Linked DNA regions of Cricetulus griseus. The protein of the gene in region 6 binds, or shares a complex with, the protein of the main gene of each other region. Links are inferred from orthologs where the notes say so. Each region holds a gene or a part of one and is shown on either strand. Other genes may lie near its edges.

Region 1 (3,660 bases), on a different chromosome or scaffold from region 6:
AAAAAGTCTTCCCTGAGGTTTAAACCCCAGAGTCCATAAAGACTCTACCACTGAGCCTCACCTGCATTCAGATGTTTAACCTTTAAGTCTCTGTGTTCTGGGAGTTTCAGACTACCGAGCTATATTAACATGAATTGTCAAAATGCTCATCATAGACCTTAGAGGAAGCTGAAGAAATTGTTCACATGGTACAGAAATTCTGAAACATGATGTCCCTAGATGGGTTTGATTTTCTCTGATAATGGATTCTGAAGACTCTACTCATACAGACTCATATGAACATTAAAAATAGTTGTCATTTGGATGACAGTGTATTCTACTTAATAGCCACCCATAGATTTATTTTTTGTTGAAACAATAAATCTCTTAAAAACTCATCTGTTCAATTGGGATCTATGAGCCTTTTAATAGGATTTTTGAAAGAAAGTGCAGGATTTATAGCTCCGTATAAATTGCCTGACATGGAAGTTAAGGTCAGTAGAGCTTTGTTCAGTCGGTCGGAGTTGAACCCGGAAGCAAAAAAGACTTGTTTCTTTCTCGTTCTGTAGTGCTAGGTGCCAAAAGCTCTCATCTTTAGAATAGTATTTTCTTAACTTAGGATGACAGAGCAGAGTTCTAGTACTCAGGAAAGTATTTCATAAGTACAAGAATGATTTGAGATGTAGGTCGGTCCTTGAGATGATGTATTCAGGGTTCCTCATTTCACGGAAAGACAGTGCATTTGTGCAAGTCAGAATCTGGGAGTCATTTTAGATGCCTTTTCCCCCTAATCTGTAATGGGTGAATGCTGTCACTCTGTCAAGTCTTCTTAAAGGTCACATACCCACTCTCCTCATGGCCACCACTCCAATCTGCACCATCACCCTTTGTCTGAAGTAGCCACCTCATCCACAACAGAGTGACCTTTCAAAACACACACCTATGAGACTGTCTGTGGTTTTGCATTGTTCTCAGGATAACAGGGAATGGCTGTTCTGGGGATGATAGGGTCTCTCTCCAGCCTCTTCCAGCCCAGACACTACAGTTGCCAGTGACTTCCCTGATGCGCTGATGGGAGAGGCTTCCTGTGCTCTGTGCTCCACTAGACCCACATTCCTTTGCTCATGGTGTTTGCATAGATCTAGATTTAGACATTCAAGCCAGGCATGGTGGTTCATGTCTGACATACCACCATAGGGGAGGCTGAGCAGGAGGATCATTTCAAGTTTGCATAGTAAAAACAAATTGGATACTTGCTTTTGTGTTCGGTGTGTGGGAGCACACATGCCAGAGGTTAACTCTGAGTGACAATCCACTGTGATGCAATTACACACCTTGCTTTTGACATGAGTGCTAGGAATTGAGTTTAGGTCCTCAGGGTTGAGTGGCAAGCAGGTTACTGAATTGTATGTGTCTCTCCTGCAGAAAACAAGCTCCACAAGCTGCATTTGTGTCTATAGTCTCATCACCAAGTCCTAACCTTGTCTCAGTGTTTGAAAGAAAGTAGTTGCTCAGTATATTTGTTGAATGAATAAATGACTGTTTCTAATTGTTCAGGTGGAAGAAGAGGAACCCACCGGATACATTCGTTTTGAAAAGTTTCTTCCAGTGATGACCAAAGCACTTCTGGAAAGAAAGTAAGGAAGTAAATCCAATTTTAAGACAAGATAACTAGAATGGCAGTAATTTCAAAACATTTGGCTGGCCAGGTGTGATGCCTTATGCCTGTAATTCCAGCATTGATGGGCTGAGGAAGGAGGATTGCCACAAACCTGAGGCTAGCCTTAGTTATGGAGTTTCAGGCCATCCTGAGCTACAGAGTTTTGCCTCAAAACCAAACCAAACCAAACCAAACCAAACCAAACCAAACCAAACCACTTGGCCTTTTATATTTTATTTACCCAGTCTATATCTTAGGGTAGTTTCCTCTAGCCTTTCAGTGTACTGCAGACTGGTTTAGGGATGTGCTTATAAATATAAACCATGCTAGCATTTATTAATACAAGCAAGAAATAATGAAAAGGAAAAGGAGCTACAAAACCAACAACATTGTAGTTATATTTAACTGTGAATTACTATTTAAAAATAAAAATTAACATTAGTTACTTTCCTAGCATAAGACAGCATTAGCATATGACAGTTGATTGATTGTAGATGTTTTGGTTGTAGATAAATTTATTTTTATATCAATGAGAAAATGCTAATAGGTAATACCAAACATTCCTGTGGGGTAGGTACTGTTGACTTTCATATCCAGAAATCCAAAGAAATTTCATCAAGGGAAATGCCATTAGCATAGTATATTAGTGGCTTTTATTTTGCCTAATGCAGTCATTTATCATGTAGAGACTGAGATAAATATGCTGGCATTAACTCACTTTATTGTAAAATTACAGATACAGACCAATTGGTGAAGATGTCCTTCTCAGAGCTTTTGAGGTGGGTGAACTCCAGATTATTCATGTATATGTGAAAAACTAATTCATCATATAGTATTTATTCAACAAAGAAAATATATCTACTTTCCCCAGGTTTTGGATCCAGCTAAACGAGGGTTTCTGACCAAGGACGAACTGATCAAATACATGACTGAGGAAGGTCAGAGCACTTTATTTCTTATTTGAGTAATTTATGCAAAGATAAATAGGCTTAAAGATGTTTATTTTTTAATTGTGTGTGTGTGTGTGTGTGTGTGTGTGTGTGTGTGTGTCTGTGTGTCTGTGTGTCTGTGTGTGTCTGTGCATCTGAATGCAGTACCCATAGAGACCAGAAGCATCATGTCCCCTGTAGCTAAAGTTACAGATGGTTGCCAGCAACCTGACATGGATACTGGAAACTGAACTCAGGTTCTTGGCAAGAACAGTGCATGGTTTTAACTGCTGAACCATCTCTCCAGCCCAATTAATAAGTTCTAAACAATTATGCAAAAGTTATGGGAGGCGATACTTTAAAAGCAATTGTTTGGTTAAATAATTTATTTATTATTCCTATTATTTTGGTTTGGTATTTGATTTTGTGTAATAGAAGTGTAATGATTACTTGTATAAATTGTGTTTACTTTATTCACTTAAAATATTTTCTGAATAAAAGACATGCCACTTAATATGAGCTGTCAATCATAAACCAATGCCTTTTTAGACAGAAGATTTGAATTATAGTATATAAAAATTTCTTTCAAAAGACTGTCTTCGGTGGTAAAGTTGCAAACAATATAGCCTAATTGAATGCAAATTCACGCAAAACTGTATTTTCTTACGATAATGGGACCTCCTCTGACAAATACCTATATATTTCCTTAAATGTTCTCTTTTTATGTCAATATATATATGTGTGTGTGTGTTTCCGCTAACTGTAAGCAGCATGATGGACAATCATTAATGCTGTTCAGACACACACACCCTGCACTAAGGAAGGAGTTCTGCTTCCTCTACACACACACACACACACACACACACACCCTGCACTATCTTCAGCTCCCAGATGCACAGGCCACGTGGTGAGTGATGCAACAGTCACCCATCAGTTGGACATGGACATGGGTATCATTTTGAGCAAGGAGACCAGTACTGGAAGCTCTATGCACACCTGATTTGGCCATTTTAACTCAGTTCCCCCTCAGGAAACAGGAAGTGAGAGAAGGAGTAAGATGAAAGCCATAGCTGCCATCCAGGATCCCCTACT
Region 2 (4,458 bases), on a different chromosome or scaffold from region 6:
TCTGCATACTTCATTCAATTCCCGAGATGTTACTTTATAGGTCAGAACTAAGAAAGTAACATTGTCAAACCTGGTGTGACTGCAGTGCCTGTACTCCTCACATTTGGGGATGGAGGCCAGAGTTTAAGGACATCCTCTCCCACATAGCAAGCTCCATGACAGCCTGGGCTACAGGAGGCTCTGCCTCAAACAAAGAAACACATAGGTAAGACGCTATTGATACAATACTGCTAACCAAACCTTGAACTTGGTGGCTTCCCAGCTGTTACTCTGATGCCCTTCTCTGTTTCAGAACCTAGTCTGGACAGTGGTTCTCAACCTTCCTGACACTGTGACCCTTTAGTACAGTTCCTCATGCTGTGGTGACCCCAACCATAAAATTATTTGTTGCTACTTCATAGCTGTAATTTTGCTACTGTTATGAATCATAATGTAAATATCTAATATTCATGATACCTGATGGGGGTCACGACCCACATGTTGAGAACCACTGGTCCAGGACATGGACTGATTGGTCTCAAAAAACAAGTAAGAGATGGATAAATGAAGATACCCAATGGTGACCTCTAGCCTGCATATGGACATGTAATATGTGTGCTCACATGCACACAGATGCATACACTACACACACATATACATCCCCACACACATGCTCATCCACACATACATGCATATCTACACACACCAACACTCTATTCACATGGATACTACAGGGGCATACACACCTACACACTTACACACTTACACCCAAACACACACATTCCTGACATGTGCTGGTGCGCTGTTACCCACCCTGCTTGCTTTTGCCCCATTCAGGACATTCAGGACATTCACTGTCATTCAGGACAGAGCTGACCTGTTCAGCTCTGTCTGTGTCTTGTCCTATTAATGTCCTACTCTATGACCTTTCTACTGTGTCCATGTCCCATCCTACTCTGTGACCTGTGGTGCCTTGTCCCAGCCTCCTCTGTGTGCTGGGCTGTGACCCAGGCTCTTCAGCTGATTTCCCACTGGTTTGGGGCAACATGGGGAGGAAATGCAAGCAGGGGCAGAGCACATTTTCCACGCTCTGCTTTGCTTGTACAGCACTTCCAGCTACAGCTTCAACTCCTCTGGGGTCTGCTGCCCCTGGTCCCCCCAACTCACATCTTCTCCCTGTGTGACTTCTTGCTGTTGACACTGCTAGGTGACCTCCGCTGCCTAAAGCTGGCCTCTCTACATTTCTGCCACTTGGGTAACCCCCATATGAAAGTCCTCAGAACAGTGACTGTCTCTTGCCTGGTATATGTGCCCAGGACTCCCCTCCACCCTCAGTCCTCTTACTCCAATGGCTCAGTCAAGCACCAAGCATCATCACAATGCTAAAAGATAAGGTAACCCCAGCACTTGGGTCAGGGGTAAGGACAGACTAGGCTATAAGAAATCCTATTTCAAAAACAAACAAACAAACAAAAAATCAAATCAAAACAAAAATCCAAAGAGCTAAAAGTAGCTTCCAGGTTCTATGGAGTGGTGTCATGGCCATTATACCTAACAGCCACCCCTTCCTTTGCAGGGTTGCTGACTGAAAAGCCAGGAGAACCTTGAGTTGGCTGACGTCTCAATGCCGGGGTATACAGAGGCAAAGTCAGCCGCTCCAGAGATGGCCTTGGCCTTGGACATCTTCAGCATGCCCCCTTCCTACGATGGCCTGGCCATCCATAGAATCCCACTGAGTACAGACATAATCCCAGTTATGCCAATGAAGACCTTGACCCCATCCAAATCCAAGCTCAACACCATCGAGGCCAAGAGAATCATGACAGTCCTGGATGAGGCCATACAAAAAGTGGGGCTGGTGACCCTGATGTCCTACGTGGAGTCCCACCCAGATGCTCTGGAGGGAGTGTTCCCTGAAGACTTGATGAGGGCCATCAGAGAACATCTGGACATCGGCCAGGTCTTTCTGGAGGGTGCCAGCAACCTGCAGGAGAAACAAAAACTGCTGGAGGAAAAGAAGGCGGATGCTGAGGAAGCCTGGTGCCGGGACCGCCTAATGTCTATAGAACTATACAAGGCCAACCTGTGGCCACTGGCACACCAGTTCCGAGATTCCACCAAGGCCATCCTGAGGCTCCTGTCCAGCCAATCCCAAATCATCACACTGCTGCAGGCACGTGCACCAGGCAGAAGCCGGGGGGCGCAGCGCCTCCTTGAGGCCCTGATAGAGCTTCGGGGCTACCTCTTTGAAAAGCTCCTCACCAGCCCTATGGAAGTAAGGGAGAAGAACCAATTCATACAGGACATCAACCGGAGGAATGAAAGGAACCAAGAAGTCATTGATGCTCTCCAGGCCGAGCTGGCGGAGGTGCTAAAGAATAAGGAGGCAGAGGTATACTTCCCAGCATCCCTCAGGTTCCGGGATGAACTGCGTGGGCCAAGCCCTTTGGGACTTGGCTTTTCTTTCGTTGATTCAAATAGCTTCCTCATCATTTACTCTGTAGAGATTGTCCTGAGCATTTTACTAGGAGGTTATATCATTAAATAAATCCAGCCTCAAGAGCTCACAGGACATTAAGGAATTAGTTGACAGCTGTTCGGAAGTGTGAAGGGTAAGGACAGGGCACCATGGAGGGATGATACGAGAGAACTGAACTCGGGCCGGAAGGACCAGGGACACTGCCACTAAGACAAGAAGGATCAAGAAAGGGGGACTGCACCGGGCATTGGTGGCACACGCCATTAATCCCAGCACTCGGGAGGCAGAGGCAGGTGGATCTCTGTGAGTTTGAGACCAGCCTGGTCTACAAGAGCTAGTTCCAGGACACCTCCAAAGCCACAGAGAAACCCTGTCTCGAAAAAAAACAAAAACAAAAACAAAAAAAAGAAAGGGGGACTGAGCCAGACAAGTGACTGTCATGTCAGTCCTGGATGAGGCCATACAAAAAGTGGGGCTGGTGACCCTGATGTCCTACGTGGAGTCCCACCCAGATGCTCTGGGGCTGGCAAGGTGTCTTTGTTACCAGCTAAGTGAGTTCTTCATCTTACATAGGAGAGACATCAGATACATGGGGGAGGGGTTGTAGAGACGGCTTAGTGGTTAAAAGTGCATACTGTTCCTTTGAGGGACTCACAGGGACTCAATGCACAGCCATGGCTGGTCTGGAATGCCGAAGACTAGGCTGGCCTTCAACTCATAAAGATCTCCCTGCCTGTGCCTCCTGAGTGTTGGGATTAAAGGCCTGTGCCATCACACCTGGTATATACCGCTCTAGCAGAGCAGAAGAGTTCAGTTCCCAGCACCTATGTCCAGCAACTCACAAACACCTGTAGCTCCAGCTCCCAGGGATGTCGCCCTGCATTCATGTGTACAATTTCTCTCTCTCTCTCTCTCTCTCTCTCTCTCTCTCTCTCTCTCTCTCTCTCTCTCTCTCTCTGTCTCTCTCTCTCTCTCTCTCTCTCTCACACACACACACAATTTTTAAAATTATATTCAATCTTAAAAGAAATCTGAAATCCAAGAATATTGAAACAAAAGAAAAGTGAAAGCCTATTATGAAAAGAAGTACAGGGTTGGCTAGTGATGGAGCACACCTTTAATCCCAGCATCCTAGAGGCATAGGCAGGTGGATCTCTGTGAGTTCGAGGCCATCCTGGTCTACAGAGAGAATTCCAGGGCAGTCAGGGCATGGCTGAGTGGGTAAAAAGCTTTCTGTACAAGCTGGGGAATCTGAGTTTGAGCCTTGGAGCCCACTTTTTTTTTTTTTTTAAGCTGGTATGATGGTGTACCTATGTAATCTCAGCATTGGGGAGGTAGGGATGGGGGACCCCTGAGACCAGGGGCTAGCCAGCCTAACCTAAGCCACAAGCTCCAGGCCAATGAGAGAGGTGGATGACTGGTGAGGGTGCACATACATGCAAGCACATATCCAGAGAGTTACAGCAGGCTACTCTACAGCTGTGAACACAGAGCTGTGTTTCATCTTATGGACAGGTTTGAATATTTGAACATTCAGAGGTTCTATAGGAAGCTTAAAGTGTACCTGTATGCACATTGCTACCAACCCTGCCCCCACCCACAGTTGACTAGTTAGTATATTATAGTAAGTCCCAGGGTTAGTTACAATTCAGATCTGTCACATCTTGATGGCTGTGGGTCCTCAGCAGCTGCTGTCTTCCTGCAGCCTGCTTTCTTTTTGGCTCTGTATCTCATCTCCAAAGGGTCACACAATCCACACACTGGGCTTAGTGGGCCAGTTGTCTCCACATGACTCTGCTGTTAGTGTGGAAGCAGCCAAAAACAGTATCAGAACAAAAGGGCTGTGTCTCAATTTATTGACAGGTATGGCTGTTTGGATCTGGCTTATGAGCCTTTGTTTGCTGATCCCTTTCCTAGGTGGAGGGGAGCATGTGGTCCCAGACCTGAGATGAGCATAAGCCTGGCTGGTTCCAAACCCTAAGGGAGGGCACAACCAAAGG
Region 3 (4,396 bases), on a different chromosome or scaffold from region 6:
AAAAAAAAAAACACACAACACAAAAATATCCTAAGGAATTAAAATAAGCCAAGATGCATTGACAAGTATTCTGTCGGACCTTTGGGAGGTGGGAGCCTTAATCTTTCCTTTAAAACCATGTTAGAGACTGAACCCTGGGCCTTTCTACAACTGTAATTTTTCTAAAAGCCAAAGTTCCCTATATCCACTATCACCGACAACATAATTCTTCTATAATTTCCTTTAAGTTCCTCCTTGTGGCCTCTAAGCAAATCAACAACAGCAACAATCTACACTAACACCTCTACTCTTTCAGTAGAAAAATGAGGGGGACCAAACAGAAATTGAAAGGCATCCAAACACACTTACTTTTTTGCTTTATACACGTAAGCACATCTCTTGCCCAAGTAGAATTCCGTTTCATCTCGGGCATAAACACCTTCAATTTTGAGAAGAGCTGTGTGCTCTCTCTGGTTCCGGAGACCTCGCTTATAGCCAGCAAAAATGGCCTTGCACCACAGCCTAAGACACACAAGACAGACATTATGAATAAACTTTACAACTGTTCATTTAACTTCTGGCAAACCACCGTGACTTGTTTTGAAGAATTCTTACAACAGCTATGGAAAGCAAATTATCTTGTTCCCCTCCCGCATGATTTTAAACCTGGGTTTCACATCTAGTTAAGATTTAAAAAAAAAAAAAAAAGGAAAAACCGAGTCTCATACCTTCCAGACATGTTTGCCTTTTAGAAGTCCTGTTCCCAGCAGGCCTGAAAACAAACAAGATCTCAAGTTAGAGCCGTGGAGCACGTTTCCCACCTGTCAACTCCTTTTCTGGAGCACGTTGGGCGAATTCAGTAGCACTTCAAGTACTGGGAACTCCTAACTCTGCCATACCAGCTACAGAGGTAGAGCCTGGCAAAAATACTCAAGACTTCTGAGAATGAATGACGACAACTCACTACTCCGGAACCTGGAAAAGCTAGGTTCGGGGAAGACTCAAGATCTAACTTGTAGAAACCCCAGAGGCAAACCTAAGCCAGTTGGCAAAACTCTGCAGAATGCACAGGTAACACGCACAAGGTCCAGCTCGGGGAAAGCAGCCTCTAGGCATCACCGCTTCCCGGGCAAGCAAGACGGACGAAATGCAGCCTCCGGAGCCCGAGGAGCAGCCGGGACCTGCGAGCCTCCCTCCCCACGGCCGGGGGCCTCAACACCATCGGTCCCTCATCTCCGCCATCCCGCCCTCCCTCTTCCTGGAGTCCCCAGAAATGGACGGCGGTCAGGGCCTCCGAGGTGCAGGGGGGTCTCGGGGAGCGGCGCAGACAAACCCACCCCAGCAACCGGCCCCCAAAGTTGAGCAGCGGGAGCCTCGCTCACCTCCACCGGCGCCAAGATGGCGGAAAGAGGAAGGCAAGGCCCGCCGCGCGGCCTTGTGGGATGCACGCCCCGCCCCTCGCCGCGCTTAGGCCGCTTGCACTCTGCCGGAGAGCTATCAGGGAGAGAGGCTCGACTCGGACAAGCCGCGCTCAGGAACTTTACTTTCTTTTCCTGTTCTTTCAACTTTCTAAGCGGCGACACGTAGTACTTCGGGGGGGAAAAAAAGGCAAAATTGTAGTCGACTAAGAAAAAGGCAAAGGTCCTAACGGAAAAAAAAAAAGAAGCCTGCGCGTTGCCATAGCTACGCCTTAGTTTGGGTCCCGCCTCCTGCCGGGCTGGTGGAAAGGTGAGGAAAAGGAGGGTTTTTTTTCCCTCTTCCTTGAATGGAGGACAGAAAAACCTGGAGCACGAAGGCAGGGGAAGCTCTCGTCTTTTCTCTTATCTAAGCCTTTATCTTTCACGAAAACAAACAGGGCGTGGTGACTCCTGCCTGTTAATCTCAGCACTCATTCCGGAGCCTGAGGTATCGCGTCACAAATTCGAGGCCGGACTGAGTTAGATAGCAAGGACCCATGTTAAACTAGGGCAACATACGAGGCAAACCGCGGGTCGCGGTGCTTGTTTGTAATCCCAGTATTGTGGGTGCGCAACCAGGAGAATAGTTCGAAGGCTACACAGGGACTGCTAGTCAGCCTGAGCTAGGAGACCCCTCTAAAAAGGGGGAGAGGGAGTGGGGAAGGTGAGAGATAGATATATTCATTCCTCCGTTGTTTTACTTGTCAGGTGAGGATGAATTTAGTAGACTCAGATTCACATTCTTCTGCGCTGACTGATGGATTCGTTCATTTATTCAGCAAGTACTGCATGACTGCCACTACAGAGAATGGTGTAGTCTTGAGGGCACTGCAGTAAACAGCAAAAACTTCCCCCTCTTGCAGCCTGCATGGAGGAGCAGGCTGGGCACTTTGGCTCTTGTGTCTGTAAGACTGAAGTATGAAGATTGCTTTATGTTTTCAGGCCAGTCAGAGGGACATAATGTGTACAAGGATATCCTGGGCTACAGAGTAGGACCCTTCACTCACTCATGCCCGCCCCCCCCCAGAAAAAAATCACAAGACAACAATCAGATAGAGCATATGGTATGTTAAAAGGTGATAACTTCCTTAAACCAACCAACCAACCAACCAACAAAAATTGTTTATGAAGCCCGGTGGTGGTGGCACCAGCCTTCCTTTAATCCCAACACTCGTGAGGTAGATCTCTGTGAATTCAAGGCCGGCCTGGTCTACAGAGAAAATTCCAGGACAACCAGGGCTACACAGAGAAACCCTGTCTTGAAAACCAAAACACTGTTTATGTACACATATGTATGTCACATGTATGTGGGTGTTTTCAGGGGTCAGAGGAGAGCCTCAGATCTAGAACTAGATTCATATGCAATTTGTTTTGTTTTGTTTTTTTCGAGACAGGCTTTTTCTGTGGCTTTGAAGGCTGTCCTGGAATTACCTCTTCTAGACCATTTTAAAGAGCAACTAGGCTGGAGAGATGGCTCAATGGTTAAGAGCACATATTGCTTTTACAGAGATCTTGTATCTACATCACATGGCTCACAATGACCTATAATTTCAATTTTAGGGAATCTTCTGGTCTTCTGTATGTCCATGGGGTGAACATAGGGCCAAACAGGCACACACACATAAGTAAAAAAAATAAACATTAGCAACAAAGACAAGGTCTCACATAGCTTACCAAACTCCCTATGTTAACCCAAGGATGGCCTTGAACTCCTGATTCTTCACCCTCCCCTTTCCAAGTACTGGGATTACAGATTTTTGCCACCATGCCCAGCTCTGAAGGATAATAACTTATTAAACTGATTTCCAGGGTTAATATAGTTTTTCTGGGGCTGGAGAGATGATGGCTCAGCAATTAAGAGCACTGACTGCCCTTCCAGAAGACTTAGGTTCAATTCCTAGCACCCATATGGCAGCTCACAACTATCTATAACTCTGGTTCCAGGGGGTCTGGCATCCTCACACAGACACACATGCAGGCAAAACACCAATGCACATAAAAAATTAATTAATTTTTAAAAAATAGTCATTTTTTTTTTTTTGGTTTTTCCAGACAAGGTTTCCCTGTGGCTTTGGAGGATGTCCTGGAACTAGCTCTTGTAGACCAGGCTGGTCTCGAACTCACAGATAACCGCCTGCCTCTGCCTCGTGAGTGCTGGGATTAAAGGCGTATGCCACCAACGCCTGGCTTAAAAAAATACAGTCTTAAAAAATAAATAAATAATATAGTATTTCTAAATGTGATCTCAATTGTTCTAAGTCAAGGTACAATAAATTCTATAATCTGACAGAACAGGGTAGATTCATTTAATTCAATATAGAGGAGAGAATAATAGAAAAATAATAACTAAATCTGTTCTATAGTGATTACCAATTCAAAATCAGGATACAATGAAACATACTAAAATTGTACTTAAATTACCTTAAGAAGAGGCAAAAGGCTGCGTTGCATGTATCTTCTGTTTGGTAGACCAGTAATAAAGCCAACCACTAAATAAGCCTCACCACATGAGTCTGCTCCACTAAGGAGAAGGAGACAAACCATAGCTCTTGTAATTCTGCATTTTTTTTTTCTCCTAGTGAAAGAGCACGGGAATAAAAAATAAATAAAAAAAAAAACAGGATTCAGCATTCTCTTGAACTAATGGCATTTCTTTCCCATTTAAGCTTACTGCATTCTTGTGAAATTATAAATCTACCCCAGAGGACAACAGAAGTAACTCAGGAAAAATGGACGGGTACGTTCAAATTCCAGTTTGTACATATAGTATGACATTATGTGTAAAAATTAAATTCTGTGGATTATTTATCTGTTACTGTGTAACAAACCACTGTTGTGAATATTACTTTAACTAGGCAAAGATGTGTCACATTTGGTTTTGCTATGGAATATTCCTTTAACTGTGCAAAGGTGTGTTACTTTTGTTTATGCTGCATTTGTTTAACTATGTAGAGATGTGT
Region 4 (3,660 bases), about 29 Mb from region 6:
TAATTAGAATAAGTGGTAATGCTGACTCCCCTCTCTTACCTTCTGCTGTGTGCCAAACTACAAACTTTTCATTCTGTGCACATAGGGTACAGTGCAGGCAGTGTGGACAGCAAAGGACCATGTGCCATGGGTGTGGCGATAGTGAAAGTGACCCTTCTACAGAAGCAACATACTTAGGGCGGGTGGGAAGTGGTTTCTCCCTAAAGAGATATCTCCTGTGAGGGTCCTTGTTGCTCACTCCAGTCTTATTGTCCCCAGGTGCAGCAGGAGAGAGACGACCTCTATCGTAAATTCACTGCAGCCATCCAGGAGGTGCAGCAAAAGACAGGCTTCAAGAACCTGTTGTTGGAGCGTAAACTGCAGGCACTGAATGCTGCAGTGGAGAAGAGGGAGGTGCAGTTCAACGAGGTGCTGGCAGCCTCCAACTTGGATCCTGCAGCACTAACGCTTGTGTCCCGAAAACTGGAGGTAAGTGCTGATGGCCTTGTGGGTCACAGTGTTTGTTTTCCATGGTGGGTCTTTCAGTCCTGTGCTTTGCCTTCTTGGATGGCACAGAGACCCCCTCAGTGAAGTCAGGGGCTGCCATGGTTTCTGCATCTGAGAACAGAGCATGTGCTACAGGCCCTTGTGCACTGCACCTGTCCATTTCCGGTTTTGCTCCCTGCTCTGCCTCTCTTTTTTTTTTTTTTTTTTTGAGACAGGAATTCAGTATGTAGACCAAGCTGGCCTCAAACTCATAGACATCTGCCTTCCTCTGCCTCATGAATGCTGCCATTAAGGGCATGTACCATACGTAGCTTTGCGGTCTGTCCTGAGCTGTCCTAGTCCCTCACTAACCCTATCCCTAACCTGCGTCTCTGGTGTCCCTGTTTTACCGTGGTCATGTGTGTGCCAAGCCTTGGCCTATAGTCAGACTTTCTTTGGACTGCCAGCTCCCAAATAATGACATGGAGGCTTCTTGTTAATTATGAAAGCTTTGCCTTAGCTTAGGCTTGTTCCCAACTAGCTCTTATAACTTAAATTAACCTGTTTATATTAATCTACATTCTACCCTGTGGTTCATTACCTCTGCTCAGTACTTTGCATTCTACTTCCTCAGTGTCTGGCTGGTGAATTCCACTGCCCAGCAACTGTAGAGTTTTAAAATTTATACAATTTTTTTTTTCCTTTAAAAACAATTAGGGCCAGGCAGTGGTGACACACACCTTTAATCCCAGCACTTGGAAACAGAGGCCAGCATGGTCCATAGAGTGAGTTTCAGGACAGCCAGGGCTACACAAAGAAACCCTGTCTACAAAAACAAAACAAAACAAAAAACCACAGACAAAATGAAAACCAAACATACAAAAAAAAATAAAGTAAAATAAAATTAGGGCCTGGGTAGATGGTTGGTAAAACCTTATTGTAGAAGCATGAGGACCAAAGTTTGGATTCCCAGCACCTACAAGAAAAGCTGGCTGTGTTGGTGTGTGCACCTGAATTTGAGCTTTCTATTGCTGTGATAAAATATCATGACTAAAAATAATTTGGGAGAAAGGGTTTATTTCACTTACATGTAGTGTAAATTGAGTATTTTCTCTAATTTTGCTAAATGCAAATGGATTAGGTAGTGTTACTCTCATTCTTTTGTGGGGAGAGGTGTTCAAGACAGGGTTTCTCTGTGGCTTTGGAGGCTGTTCTGGCACTCACTCTGTAGACCAGGCTGGCCTCGAACTCATGGAGATCCGCCTGCCTCTGCCTCCCAAGTGCTGGGATTAAAGGAGCGCACCACCACCGCTTGGCTATTACTATCATTCTTTTTTTTTTTTTTTTTAAAGATTTTTATTTATTTATTATGTATACAACATTCTGCTTCCATGTATATCTGCACACCAGAAGAGGGCACCAGATCTCATAATGGATGGCTGTGAGCCACCATGTGGTTGCTGGGAATTGAACTCAGGACCTCTGGAAGAGCAGTCAGTGCTCTTAACCTCTGAGCCATCTCTCCAGCCCTACTATCATTCTTAATAACTGTTTTTGTTGTAAGTAATCTTTCTATGTTAAATTAAAACCTTCCATTTTTAATTGTAAAGATTTGTTATTCAAATTGTTTTAATAAAACACAGATTGGCCAGTAGCCAGGCTGGAACTATAGGCAGGGTGACTAAACTAAGAATTCTGGGAAGAGGAAGGGCAGAGTCACAGAGTTACCAGTCAGACTGAGAGGAAGCAAGACGAGAATGCCTTACTGATAAAAGGTAATAAGCCATGTGGCTAAACATAGATAAGAATTATGGGTTCATTTAAATGTAAGAGTTAGTAATAAGCTACTGGCTGGGCATTTATAAGTAATTTGGAAAGCAGCTGCCGGGCATTTGGGGGTAGTCTTCTGCCTATACTTACATTTCTACATCTCAGTGCATCATGGTGGGGGCGGGGGGGGGGGGGGGCAGTCAGAGCAGGAACCTGAAGCAGAAATTGAAGCAGAAGCCATGGATGAATGCTGTTTACTGACTTGCTCCTCATATTTTCTCAGCCTGCTTTTGTTTGTTTGTTTCTCTTTTTTAAGACAGGATTTCTCTATGTAGCCCTGGCTGTCCTATCAACCTGTTGTCTTATCTCATCCCTGGTATACCCAGGACCACCTGCCCAGGGATGGTACCACTCACAGTGAGTGGGGCCCTTCTGCATCAATCATTAAGAAAATGCCCTATAGGCTAGTGATGCACACCTTTAATCCCAGCACTCAGGAGGCAGAAGCATGCAGACCTCTGTGAATTTGAGGCCAACCTGGCCTACAGACTGAGTTCGGGGACAACACAGAGAAAGCCTGTCTCAAAAACAAACAAAACAAAAGATGGAGAGCAATAGAGGATGACACCCAATATTGACCTCTGTCCTGTGTCACATGTCCTATGTCACACACACAGAGATCAACTGCTGTTTCATCTTGGCAGTTTGGTGCTTCATTGTAAGGATGTAGGCAATACAAAGATTCTACTGTTGTCCCCTTCTTGTTGTTCTTACAAGGAAAAGTATCTTGCCTTGGATACTTTTCCTGCTGACAAACTTGTGTGGATGCATGTATGGGCTGAGGCAACCTAGACTACTACTTCCTGAGCCTTTCTAACCCTAAGACTAGTGTCCACCTCTATCAGATGACGAATATTAAAGTCGCCCTTGTCTCTCTCCTTAGGATGTTCTGGAATCGAAGAATACCACCATCAAGGACTTACAGTATGAGCTGGCCCGGGTCTGCAAGGTATGTATGGCTCATCCCCATCCCCAGAGCCCCACCTTCTCCCTCAGGGCTGTCTCCTCCATAGAACTGTGCTCCTGTACCCAGCTTCAGCTTGTGAACATTCTAGATGAAGGAAGGGTCCCTGAGGCCCTCTCTCATTTCTTCTGCATGTTTCATTCAGAAGGTAGGTATGGTAATCCCCTTGTGATATGTCTTCATAGCCTTAGGGCTTGAGAGTGACCTAGTCCTGGCTTTGCTTATAGGTCTGCCTGGCACACACTTAGGACTCTGTCTCCTACCATGTTCAAATTTGTCTCTCCCTCACCCTTCTTTGCTCAGCTGGCCCCTCAGGCAGGCAGTTGGAAGTGTCTCTCTGCTCTTCCACATGAATGCTCACTGCAGTAAGTCACTCTCACCCTTTCGTTACCTTTGTGAAT
Region 5 (3,660 bases), on a different chromosome or scaffold from region 6:
ATGGCAGTCCTCTGGACTCAGCCTGTGAAGTGCTGGGGTTTGGGATAGGAGCCCCATCTGGCTAATATAAAGTTGGAGGGAAGAAAGGTGGAGTAATATGAGACTGTCTTTGATTTCGTTTCACACTATGGTTTAGAACAATGCAAGAAAAGTGTTTTTCAGAGTCATAAAACACCAGCATGAAAACACCCTGAAGAGTAGACACCAGACATGCATGGCCAACCTCCACACTTCTCTCTCCTTGGTCTATGGCAGGAGCCTTAGTTGAGGCCACTGCCAAGCGAGGAGGGTCAGGATTAAATCAATCATCTACAATAGTCCTCAGGAAACCTGAAGTAGGGACAGAATCCTTGAAAAGTGCAGACAAGTCACACTATCTACACATCCATCTCTCTGTTCAGAATTAAACCCAGTAACAATAAGAGGGAGCAGCAACGATGGGGTTAGGCTACTTCCTTCTAAGGACTCAAGCCTAACGGCTATTCTAGCTCTGGGTGTGCCCAACATGCAGCTAAGGACTTGGGCTCTTGGCTTTTAGGTCTATCCATGGTCACGCCTGTTACAGCTAATGTTCTAATGCAGATTGTCGCTTGTCCTACCGCTCTGACAGTTTCACAATGGCGGGATCGCCCACAAGGGAGCAGTTATTCAAATTGAGTTCTCTTATCTTCACACTCACAGAACCATCAAGAAATTGCCTCAGGCCAGCATCACTAATCCTGTGGAAAAGAGAGACAGAAGGGTCACATATGTTCTCATAAATAAACATACAGGCTGGTGGTGACACCAGTTTCTACACCAAATACATTCCAAAGTAGGAAATATCCATACACTGGCGTTTTGTCAAATTTTTGAAAATGATTGCATAGCTCTTAATATAACAGAAAATGGATATATGATAGTAATAGGAGAGATATTAATAAAATGTTATTTGTGTCCATTTGTTTTATTAGGTGGCATGATTATTAATAACATGGATGATCTCTTTTTTCCAGTTTAAAATGTACTAAGGTTAAAAAATCCCTGATAGGATCAGCAAAAGGCTAAGGCCAAATTTTAGAACAGGAAGAAGCAAGACTCAAGATCCTGGATGGATTCTACCGAATTCAAGGTCACCTGGGTTGGACCAGAAACACAAGGGGTGACCTTTGGAACTCTAGGCCAGAGAAAACTTGCATCTGGAAGAAGTCGGTGACTTCAGCCTGTCGTCATTAGAAGCGCCTTGAGGGGCCACGCTATCTCCCTGTACTGTCCTCGGTCTTCCAGGAGGGCTTTACTTCTAATATTATCTGAAGACCACCAGTTGCGTCTCTAGAAAGCCTTTCCACCAGTGAAACAGGACAAGCGATTGATTATATCACACACAGACAGTCTACAGGAGGGTGTGCGGGCAGGAAGAGCACTCAGAGCCTTCCTTGCTGGCTGCACTTTCCCTTTGACTCGCCAGGAGCAGAGCAGAAAAGGCAGAAGGTGATTGTTTCTGTTGCTTCAATGAGCCAAGCACCCTTAGCCAAGCAGCTTCTGAGATGGCGTACTTACTTATAGTTTTAGGTTACAGTCCACCATTGAGGGAGGTCAGCTCAAAGCAACTAGTCTCTTCCCATCCGCAGTCAAGAGCAGAGAGAGCTGAAGGTACCCAGGCACCCAAGCTGCCTGCTGGGCATCTTGCTCTCAGCTAGCTTTCCCTCCTCATACTACTCAAGGCCTGTCCTGGTTTCCTTTCTGTTGCTATGATAAAACACTGACCAAAACCAGCCTGGGGAGGAAAGGGTTTACTACACCTTACAGTTTCGAGTCCATCATCAGAGGAATCGAGGACAAAAGTTCAGGCAGGAACCAAAGGCAGGGAATAAACACCGACCTCAGAGATGCTTGCTACTAGGCTCTAGACAGCCCAGGCCCACCCACTCAGAGACACCATCTCCCACAGTGGGCTAGGCCCTTCTACGTCTAAAAGCAATCAAGACATAGTCATGCCCACAGGTCACCCTGAAAGAAGCAATTGCTCAATTGAGGGCCCCTCTTTCAGGCTGTGTTAAATTACCAAACAAGATTAGCCATCACAGGACCCCCAAACCAGGGCATAGTGCTGCCCACAGTCAGGGTGGGTCTCCCATGCCAATTAACAAGCCCCCCCCCCCCAGACATGCCAACAGGCTAACCTGACAGACAGGTTGGAAATCCTTTCAGGTGATTCTAAATTGTGACAAAGTTGACATTAAAAACTATCATAACAGTATTCCAGCGAATGGAAACTTTAGTGATTCCCATGATGCATCTCACCCAGTCACTGCTGTACCAGCAGCTAGGAAGGCAAGCCAGAGGCTGGTGGGGTGGGAAGTGAGGCATGACGAAGAGCAGGGTCCAAACACAACAAACTTACCTATTAGCTAACACCAGACTGGAGTAATCAATGAGTAATGTTTTCACTAACAAGAAAATAAAATATAGAACCCAAGCTATAAGACTGAGAAGTGTGTCTCTGGAAAAGATTTGCAAAAGAAAGCAGAAAGGCAGCACTGTGGGCAAGGAAACAGGAGTGAGAGTTCACAAAGAAAGAACCCACCGGAAGCAGGACAGTTTAGTAACCTGAGACTCTGCTTAGTTTGAGATAGATTAGCTCCTTTCCAGGCACACAATGTACCTAGCAACCTCAGAGCCCCCTCAAGCCCCACCCACACTGCGCTACTTGTAAACCTCTGTGAGAAACAGTGTAAGTTGTCCTTCTCCTAACAACAATCAAACCTAGACAGTTTCCTTTCAAAAAGATTTCCAGATATCTAGAATGAAAAATAGGCCGAGCCAGCTCAGCTGGTTTTGGGAGCTAGTGCAATACAACAAAACTGTGTTTTCAAGTGAACTTTTAGGGAAAATCCTCTGCGTACAGTCTTGGGCCTATGTGTATGATTAAAATCAGATGCATGTGCCGTCAAAAATGATTATATAATTACTCTATCAGTCAAACTAGAAAACTCATCTACACAGTAAGACTTGGTCCCCTGCCTTTCCTGATCCCCATTAACACTGTGGAGAGGGACTGGCTCATCCTTGATAATGTTACTTGAACCCTGAGTTGACATACCCTGAATGACTTCTTACCTTATGCAATTGGTCAAGTTCAACACTGTCAATTGCTTCAAAACTGAAAGTGACTTGAGGCTGCTGTCTGTTAGTGTCTTGCAGTCCACCATGTAGATGTGATTGATACCTGGGTAATTCTTGTCTATGTATTTGAAGCATGCATCAGTAATCCTTTTGTTTCCTGTGGAAAAGAAGGAAATACAAGTACTATATTTAAAGGTCCAGGGAAAAAAATTTAAAAACAAGGTTAAATCATGTTTTTGGCTTCACAGACCTTCAAATCGGATCTTTTTGAGGTTACAGGAAGTAAGAGCTTTGAAAGCACAGTCAGAGATGTGTGGTGAGCCAATGAAAACCACCGTTGAAATTTGGAGACACTTCTCAACCAAGACCTTTGGGAGAGGAAAGAACAGAGACAGGTTAACTACTGTAGAGGACCAACAATGAGGAGATACTGTCATTTTCCCCTCAAGATTTTCAGAAACAGATATGCTAACTATTACATTTTCCTAATTTTGAAGCAAATAGGACTGTTTTCATATTTTATGTAATGCAGTATTTTCATATTTCAGTAATGCA
Region 6 (3,660 bases):
AAAGTAGAAGTAGTATGTCCAGAGTCACCTAGTACATTTGGTTGTCCCCCATTCTGGCCCCCAAGGTGTCTTACACTGTAGGTCTTCATAGACGGTGAGGCGGCACACCAGGCCATTGTTGTTGAGGTATGGGGCCCACTTCTCCAGCTGTGCCCTCTTGTACCGTATCACTTTCTTTCCATTGGGGCAACGGGTCTCAAACTCTGTGAATGCAGAGGGGACTGGGGTCTCTCCTTCCACTCTTCCTAGCCATTCATTCATTTTCTGCATCACTTATAAAGTGCCTCCAGGACCAGAAACAGCCCCAGGGAGGAAGAAAATAGCCACTAGTGCTGTCTTAAACTCTTCCCAAGGCATCCACACCAGAATCCCAGTGCCACCCAAGAATCATACCTGTGACCCAGCCACCCACAGCCGTGGCAGGCTATCACCAGTGAGAACACTATGCTGGGATGACTTCTGACCCTTTGAAATCCAGCTCCAGTGGTACTTACTTCTTGAGCTGTGATGAGTGCCCCCACCCCAGGGTCCATGACCTCTTCTCCAGCACTTGTTACTGGCTGGAACAGCCTGCACTCTTCTTCTGGGTCTAAGTATTCCCAGATGGGCATATGTAGACAAGGAGCAAAAGGTAACCCACTCTCCTGCCTTCTTTGCCCTTGCCTCCTGGAGCCTGACCCCCTTACATCATCTGCTACAGGTCTTGCCTATGGCCTCCTCGAACAGGGAATTTGAAGGAAGGAAAGAGGCCATGTTCCAGACCTTGTTAGTCATGATGTTAACAATCCAGTTGTGTGCCAGATGGTGTCAGGCCCTGGGCACAGAGCTGGTGGGGTGTTAAAGAGGGGTGGAAAGAAAGGCTCAGTAGGCCCCTATGGCCTCTCTCCTTAGCTATGGGTACAGAACTCCCTGGGGGCTAGGAAGTGGTGAAGGACAGAGACCGTCTGGGGTGATCTCAATCTGGGCGACCCATGAAGGTGGCATGTCGAAGCTCTTATCCTCTTCTTCTTTGCCCTGTGAGGAGAGGAGGTGGATGCTGGCCAGGGCCCTGGAGCAGAGGCCTTGACACAGCTCTGTCCCTTTCCCCAGACCCAGGGTTAATAAGGGGGCTGTCAGTTTCCCCCAGGATCCAGGAATCAGGAGCACCATCAGGATGGGGAGGAAGAGGAGTCAGCTGGGGCAGACCCCATCCCCTACTTGCCTGGTCTAAGATGATAATGCCTGCTCTCATACTCTGCCCTTCCAGCCAAACCACCTGAGGCCATGATGGCTACTCAGGAGATCCCAAGTCAGACATAGCCATACCTTTAACTATACCTAATACCAGGTAAGGAGGGCTGGGGAAATCCTCTAAGCCTTGGTTTCCTTAGCTGTTACCTGGGAAGACTAAAGGATATCATGAACATGGCTTGAGACTCTGTCTGGCTGTCCATCCCCAGTCTGTGAAGTAAGGCCTGGTCTAGACAAATGACCCTCAAATTAGTCTCATGATATTCCATGTGTACACTTCCTGCCACAAACAACGTTCAGACCTTGGACACTTGCTCATCTAATTGTGACTTCTTTCAGGAATACACAAGGTGAGCCGTCAGCAAGGGGCATTGGCAGAACTTTTTGAGAAAGCCCAGAAATCCCAGGGCCAGGTCTGGTCCCATAGCTGAGTGCTGACTCTCAGGCTGTATCATCTGTCTATGTTGGAGGTAACAAGGACTCTCTCACTCTAGGGATGTGACAAGGCTTCCAACTCAGGATTGCATGCGCTGCACGCTGCTAATCCATGCTCACAGCCAGCAGGGGGCGCCAGTGCTCAGAAATGAGGAGTTGGAGAACAGGGTGACTCAGTCATTCTCAGGCAGCTCCCAGAGCTGAATCACCACTACTGAGAACCCAGATATGCCACACTGTTTAGGTTCTGCTCCCAGCTCTCTCACTTCCTGGGTGGGTCCTTTGGTGACTCATTTTGCCTGCTGTCTGTAAGTTCTCAGTTTCCCAGGTGGCGATTTAAATGAGTGAGTTCAGACTCCACACCAAGCAGAGCCTGTCTCCACACCAATATCACCTGTTGTTAAAACCATCACTCAGCCTCCCTCTAAAATCACACACCAAACCTTCACCCCTAGTATCTTGGAAGTAAAGGTCTTTAGGGAAGAGGCAATGAAGTCTAAATATGGTCTTTAGGTAACCTTACAATATGCTAAGTGTTCTTATGAGACAAGGGAGTTAGGACACAGACTCGTAGAGACACAGCATGAATGGCCATCAGCAAACCCAGAGGCTCTCAGAAGAAAACAGCCCGGTCAGCACCTTGACCCTGAAATTCCAGCCTCCAGTAGTGTGGGACTCCCAGTTTGTAACACTTAGTTATGGCAATGCTAGATGACTAAAACACCTGTTACTTGGCCTATGGATACCAAAGAGACTATAACCCTCACCTACTTTTACACATAAGGAGGAATGGAAGATCCCAAAGCAGGGGAATTTGACTAAGACCCCTGGGCTCCTAGTCTCTGATTTCTCACTCAAGACATCATGCAGGAAGCACCCCTCCTCTCTCCTCCCACACATATCCCTTGTTGGGAGATGACAGAAGGAAGGCTGGTGAGGGGATCCCCCGGGCCCATGATCTCTACAAGACCTAGTAGGAAGGACCTAGGAAGGAAAGGCCTTGATAGAAAGTCACAATGGTGACTAAGGAGGAGCTAGCAGAGTGGCCAGCCCTGGGCTCCCACTCCAAAAAGATACGCTTTCTAAGGATCAGCCCAACCATGAATAACAGGACTCAGATGGGAAAGGCTGAATTCAGGCACTGTCACTCTTTAACCCACTGGGAAGTCCTAGGCTGGCCACTGGACATGCCTGGGCCTCTGTTTACCCATCTGTAAAATGAAGGCTCAGTAAAGGCTCCTCTTCTTTGAGGAGTGTATGCTACATCTGGACTCCACACACATGCATGTGTTTTCAGGGGTGTCTTTCAGGTCAGGCTGCCTGATGCAGAACAGGTGAAGTCCCTCAACCCACCCTCAGGCCACCAGACTCACCAGATTGTCTATGTCATCATCATCATCCAGCACATCCTCATCCTCTTCAGTCAAAGACAGGTGAGGCTTATCGGTCCCCAAGAGCATATACTCCCATCTCACAGGGTCTCCCAGGTCAAAGACCAATTCCTGATAGAAAAGAAACCAACTGAAGGCATCCCCTGGATCCATGCCTGGGCCTGCTCCTAGGACGTGGAAATGACTGTTCCCAGAGGTTTGCAAGGACTGTGCAGAATATCAGCTTTGCTCAATCTCTAAGAGTCCAGCCACATTTCTTCATCTCCCATCCCATCATCCCATCTCCCCAGGAAAAAATCCTACAGCCAGTCCAGAGGAGACTCATCAGTGCCCTCTGCTGGGGCGTTGTATGAGAGCATTGTATGCCACTATGTGGCCTTTCTGAGCTGGCAAACTATTAGGAAATGACTACTTGTGGGGAAGAAATGTTTAAATGTGGATTGGCATGACGGAATTATGGAGGAGAGCGCAGTCATGGGAGTGATATGTGACTAACTCATCTGGTGGGGTCATTTTGCATGGAAAAGCAGCAATTCTGGGAGGGCAAGTGGTGTGTTCAACTCCTCCTTGAAGCATGTGCTGTAGGGCAGGCCCATAACTGGCC
Region 7 (4,315 bases), on a different chromosome or scaffold from region 6:
GCCAATCAAATCATACCTGCATAGACAGCATCCCTTTCACTTTGGGCCTTCTCCAGTTCAGCTTCTAGCCCTTGCAACCTCTGCTTCAGCCTCTCTTCAGAAGCCTTGGCTCTGCGGGTCTCATCCCTCTGGAGAGCTGTGGACAGTGTCAAGAGCCATGCTCAGGTCTGGCTGTGGGTCCTACAGAACCAATCACCATGGCCTCCATGAACTAAGTTCACCTCTGTGAACTTGGTGACAGGTGTCAATTTCGTATACTCTTTATTAGTTGCCCCAAAACCCATAGGGTTTTCATTCCTAAGTCAATAATCCCTCCATGTTCTGGCCACTATAAGACAATGGCTTCCCCAAGTTGCAGGTTAGCTCCATGGTAGACTACTTACCTATCATGAATGAAGTTGTGATTCTATTCCCAGCTGGGGGAAGGGGTGGGAGATAGCTTCTTTCATTGATCTTCACTGCCTAGCCCTTCCTCACAATCTTGCAAATAGATTAATGGCTATCTTGGTTTAGCCCTGCACACAGTTCAAACTTTCCAGTTCCCCAAGAACCCAGAAATGCCCTATGTTCCATACATTGGGTGGCTAGTTTATTGTCAACTTGACATAAGCTAGAGCCATTAGAGAAGAGGTAGCCTCAACTGAGAAAATGCTTCCATAAGATCAGGCTGTAGGCAAGATTTTAGGGCATTTTCTTAATTAGTGACTAATGGGGAGGGCCTACCCACTGTGGATGGTGCCACCACTGAGCTGGTGGTCCTGCGTTCTATAAGAAAGCAGGCTGAGCTGGGCATTGGTGGCGCACGCCTTAATCCCAGCACTCGGGAGGCAGAGGCAGGCGGATCTCTGTGAGTCCGAGGCCAGCCTGGTCTCCAGAGCGAGTGTCAGGATAGGCTCCAAAGCTACACAGAGAAACCCTGTCTCGAAAAACCGAAAAACAAAACAAAATAAAACAACAACAACAAAAAGGGAAGCAGGCTGAGCAAGCCATGTGAAGCAAGGCAGTAAGCAGCAACCCTTCATGACCTCTGTATCAGCTCCTGCCTCCAGGATCCTGCCCTACTCGGATTCCTATCCTGACTTTCTTCAATAATAAACAGTGATTTGGAAGCTTAAGCCAAATAAACCCTTTCCTCCCCAAGTTGATTTGGTCATGGTGTTTCATCACAGCAACGATGACCCTAACTAGGACTTCTATCTCTGCCATCTCCTGAGGCTTCAAACTTCTTACCCAAGTGGTCCTGAAGCAGCTCCTTCTCCAGCAGGACCATCCTATGCTTGGCCTCAGCCTCTGCATCTGTTCTGGCAAGACAATAGTCTCAGGTTATCCTTCTCTCGGCCTCACCCCAGTGCTGCTCTGCACCTGCACTTCTTCCTTCGTGATGGAGGAAGATAGCTGGATGAGGGAGGCCCAATGGCAAATCTGACAAATTTACGGCTGAGTGGCAGAGTCTTCACCCACCATGTGCACGGTGGGTGCTCAAAATAAGGGTGAAAAATATGATGAGGGCAAAGAACTAGATGGGGCTCCAGGGGGAATTTGGGAAGGAGGCATTCTCCACTTCCTCAGCCCCATGGAATCTGGACGCAAGGATCTGCAGAGGAGGGCCAGGAAGCTTCACCCTAGCCAAGTGTGGTAGCAACGCCTGTAATCCTGTCACTATGAAGACTGGGGCAGCCTGGGTCCCATAGTGACCCTGTGTCAAAAGAACAAAAGACAAAACCAAAACAAACCCACTCCATTTGTTGCCCAGAGGGCTGGATTCCCTCCGAGGACCTTTGTGTCACAGACACGCCCTGTGACTCACCAGGACTTGATTTTTTTTTCTTCTTCTGTGCCCCAGTTTTTCTCCCCTTTCCTTTGGTTTTAGGTGGCATCCTTGCTGCCCTGGGGGAGGGAAGACCTTCTGTGTAGGTCTGCATACAGAAATGCTCTCCTGACTCCTAGAGGTAGGGGTCTTGGGGCAGTCAGAATTCTAGTCTTCCAGTGTATCTTACACTTTCTAGAAGCTTTGGTTCTTGGTCTCCTGGGAACCCCAGGCAAGGCTGGGAGGTAGAGCAATTCTATGGGCAGCAGACAGCCCTTTTAGAGAAGATAAATCTCTGGACCTGGTCCCTTCTGTCTCCCCAACATGCTTATTCTTCCCCTTCCTACCTGGAGGACCTTCTCTTGCTTGAGTGCTGTCTCCCTGGGGAATAACACTCCTTGGGAAAGATAGAGTCCCAAGCAGATTGAGCCTAGGGAGGAAGGAGCCTGGGTCCTGGGAGCCAATCCAGGCTGAAAAACTTCCCCAAGAGGCAGGACCAAGAACTGGGATGTTGGGTTTCTGGAGACTGCCTGCTGCCCAGGCAACCGGGAAACACTGTGTTCATAGGCAGGTAGAATGGGCTAAATTGACTCACACAAAGGTCCTGTGTAGGTAGATTCCCCTCCTACCCGCAAAGAAAAGGTCTTGGAGCTGAATAGCTATTATTCATGTCTACACAGGCACTGCCTATCATCTGGAGACTTTGCAGTCTAGAAATCTAGAAGCATCCAGTGTGAGAGGCTAGTGCTTTACAGATGGAGAAGAAAGGCAGGGAAAGTAGCCATTGCAGGTACTTTATATCCCGAGGTCTCATGAACACAGTGACATGATTTGCTTTAGAACTTGAGGTCTACTTCAGAAATGCTATCTGTGGCTTGTGCAGGAAACACGTGCTGGCACAGGTAGTTGAGAGTTTTCCACTTAAGAGAAATGAGAACAGAGAAGAGCTGTGGACTTGGGGATGCTGACCCAGAAAGGAGGCCACAAATTAGGCAGAGTTGCGAACTGAGCTACTTAATTTTGCTCAGCTTGGATTTCTTGGTGTATAAGTTTTGTAGTTCCCTCCTGGAGTCCAGTTGTAGAGAGGGAGGAGGGATGAGCAAAGGGGTCAAGACCATGCTGGGGAAACTCACAGAAACAGCTGACCTGAGCAAGTGGGAACACACGGACCCCAGTCTGACATCTGGGGAACCAGCATAGGACCCAACCAGGCCCCCTGAAGATAGGTGTCAGTTGGGAGGCCAGGGCAGTCTATGGGGCCTCTGGCAGTGGAACCGGTATTTATCCTAGTGCACAGACTTTGGGAGCCCATTCCCTATGGAGGGATACTCTCTCAGCCTAGATACATGGGGGAGGGCCTAGGCCTTGCCCCAAATGATGTGACAGACTTTGATGATCCCCCTGGGAAGGCTTTACCCTCCCTGGGGAGTGGACGGCAGTGGGAATGGGATGGGGGTGGGTGGGCATGGGAAGACAGGACCGAGATTGCTATGTAAAATAAGGATATATATATATATATATATTATATATATATATATATAATATATATATATATACTCAGTGGTGTGTTTCTAGGACTTCTTTCTCTCCCGCTCAACAATTGTCTCACTCTCCCTATTTCTCTGTGAGGTTACTCTGCAGACAGGGTGTTTAGAAGCCCCCAAGCTCTCTGCAGCATAGAGTTGGTTAGTGCTCCCTCTAGTGGACTTGCTTTGACCAGAGTCTCCTAAATTTTGCAGTTTAGTATTTCTTGCACAATATGGGGGAGATTCTCTTTGGGGGATGCCTTCTAGCATCTTGCATATGATTTAAAAAATTGATTGTGGGTAGAGAGTGTGATGGGGTAGCTTGCTATTGCCCCCTCCATCTGGGAGGGCTCCATCCTGGAACCGGGCCATTACTGGGCATCACAATGGCATCATACATAGAATGGAACAGTAAGCCTTCCTTCTTCCCTGTGGATTATGGGATCTACAGACTCTTTTTGGGCACTTCTGTCTATTCCAGAATTTTGGTCAACTGCATATTATCAGAAGCAAATCTGCAGAAACAGGTATAAGACGTGGGAGGAAGATCTCTCACCTGTGAAGAAGAAGCAGAAGGTCAATGAGTGTTTATTTAACCCCATGGCACTTTAGAGATCTTAGAAAAGATTTTTAATTTTAATTTTTCATTTCGCTATATGTGTGTGGGTTTGTGCATGTGAGTGCAGTACCCAAAGAGGCTGGAAGAGAGCATTGGAGCACCTAGAGTTGGCCTTACAGGCTGCTGTGGGCAGTCCATCAGTATGGTTGGTGCTAGGAACCAAAGTCGGGGTCTCTGCATGAGCAGTGCTTGCTCTTAACTGCTGGACCATGTCTCCAGCCATCACTCTGTACATTTTGTAGAGGGAAGAGAGGAGTCAGACTTGCCTCTATGGTGCTTACAACCCATGGAACTTGGGGCTGGTGAGCCTTGTGCACACTTCCCAGATATAGAGGACATCTTTCTTCTCACTTTCCACCATGT

Evidence for each region.
Region 1: Drc7 (region 6) and Efcab2 share a complex: the UniProt entries of both Homo sapiens proteins name them as parts of the nexin-dynein regulatory complex. The link is inferred for Cricetulus griseus from reciprocal best matches to the Homo sapiens genes DRC7 and DRC8.
Region 2: Drc7 (region 6) and Iqcd share a complex: the UniProt entries of both Homo sapiens proteins name them as parts of the nexin-dynein regulatory complex. The link is inferred for Cricetulus griseus from reciprocal best matches to the Homo sapiens genes DRC7 and DRC10.
Region 3: Drc7 (region 6) and Iqcg share a complex: the UniProt entries of both Homo sapiens proteins name them as parts of the nexin-dynein regulatory complex. The link is inferred for Cricetulus griseus from reciprocal best matches to the Homo sapiens genes DRC7 and DRC9.
Region 4: Drc7 (region 6) and Gas8 share a complex: the UniProt entries of both Homo sapiens proteins name them as parts of the nexin-dynein regulatory complex. The link is inferred for Cricetulus griseus from reciprocal best matches to the Homo sapiens genes DRC7 and DRC4.
Region 5: Drc7 (region 6) and Fbxl13 share a complex: the UniProt entries of both Homo sapiens proteins name them as parts of the nexin-dynein regulatory complex. The link is inferred for Cricetulus griseus from reciprocal best matches to the Homo sapiens genes DRC7 and FBXL13.
Region 7: Drc7 (region 6) and Ccdc153 share a complex: the UniProt entries of both Homo sapiens proteins name them as parts of the nexin-dynein regulatory complex. The link is inferred for Cricetulus griseus from reciprocal best matches to the Homo sapiens genes DRC7 and DRC12.

What each region holds. Positions count from the first base shown.
Region 1 is NC_048598.1:15,668,532-15,672,191, reverse strand, and holds part of Efcab2 (dynein regulatory complex protein 8), read left to right. Parts: intron 1-1,536; coding exon 1,537-1,616; intron 1,617-2,375; coding exon 2,376-2,418; intron 2,419-2,510; coding exon 2,511-2,577; intron 2,578-3,660. UniProt on the Homo sapiens protein: Component of the nexin-dynein regulatory complex (N-DRC), a key regulator of ciliary/flagellar motility which maintains the alignment and integrity of the distal axoneme and regulates microtubule sliding in motile axonemes.
Region 2 is NC_048597.1:100,410,592-100,415,049, forward strand, and holds the start of Iqcd (dynein regulatory complex protein 10), read left to right. Parts: upstream 1-1,575; 5' UTR 1,576-1,603; coding exon 1,604-2,371; intron 2,372-4,458. UniProt on the Homo sapiens protein: Component of the nexin-dynein regulatory complex (N-DRC), a key regulator of ciliary/flagellar motility which maintains the alignment and integrity of the distal axoneme and regulates microtubule sliding in motile axonemes.
Region 3 is NC_048597.1:56,495,585-56,499,980, forward strand, and holds the start of Iqcg (dynein regulatory complex protein 9), read left to right. Parts: upstream 1-1,481; 5' UTR 1,482-1,707; intron 1,708-1,734; exon of another isoform or gene 1,735-1,884; intron 1,885-4,102; 5' UTR 4,103-4,165; coding exon 4,166-4,173; intron 4,174-4,396. Other genes in the region: Rpl35a (60S ribosomal protein L35a), read right to left, coding at 349-501, 708-718. UniProt on the Homo sapiens protein: Component of the nexin-dynein regulatory complex (N-DRC), a key regulator of ciliary/flagellar motility which maintains the alignment and integrity of the distal axoneme and regulates microtubule sliding in motile axonemes.
Region 4 is NC_048596.1:200,184,103-200,187,762, forward strand, and holds part of Gas8 (dynein regulatory complex subunit 4), read left to right. Parts: intron 1-258; coding exon 259-468; intron 469-3,178; coding exon 3,179-3,244; intron 3,245-3,660. UniProt on the Homo sapiens protein: Component of the nexin-dynein regulatory complex (N-DRC), a key regulator of ciliary/flagellar motility which maintains the alignment and integrity of the distal axoneme and regulates microtubule sliding in motile axonemes.
Region 5 is NW_023276806.1:172,973,846-172,977,505, reverse strand, and holds part of Fbxl13 (dynein regulatory complex subunit 6), read right to left. Parts: intron 3,474-3,660; coding exon 3,356-3,473; intron 3,263-3,355; coding exon 3,100-3,262; intron 720-3,099; coding exon 600-719; intron 1-599. UniProt on the Homo sapiens protein: Substrate-recognition component of the SCF (SKP1-CUL1-F-box protein)-type E3 ubiquitin ligase complex.
Region 6 is NC_048596.1:171,276,478-171,280,137, reverse strand, and holds part of Drc7 (dynein regulatory complex subunit 7), read right to left. Parts: intron 3,168-3,660; coding exon 3,039-3,167; intron 1,015-3,038; coding exon 942-1,014; intron 204-941; coding exon 75-203; intron 1-74. UniProt on the Homo sapiens protein: Component of the nexin-dynein regulatory complex (N-DRC) a key regulator of ciliary/flagellar motility which maintains the alignment and integrity of the distal axoneme and regulates microtubule sliding in motile axonemes.
Region 7 is NC_048597.1:155,926,495-155,930,809, reverse strand, and holds the start of Ccdc153 (coiled-coil domain-containing protein 153), read right to left. Parts: upstream 2,907-4,315; 5' UTR 2,155-2,906; intron 1,888-2,154; 5' UTR 1,878-1,887; coding exon 1,808-1,877; intron 1,782-1,807; exon of another isoform or gene 1,743-1,781; coding exon of another isoform or gene 1,738-1,742; intron 1,302-1,737; coding exon of another isoform or gene 1,297-1,301; coding exon 1,231-1,296; intron 137-1,230; coding exon 17-136; intron 1-16. UniProt on the Homo sapiens protein: Component of the nexin-dynein regulatory complex (N-DRC), a key regulator of ciliary/flagellar motility which maintains the alignment and integrity of the distal axoneme and regulates microtubule sliding in motile axonemes.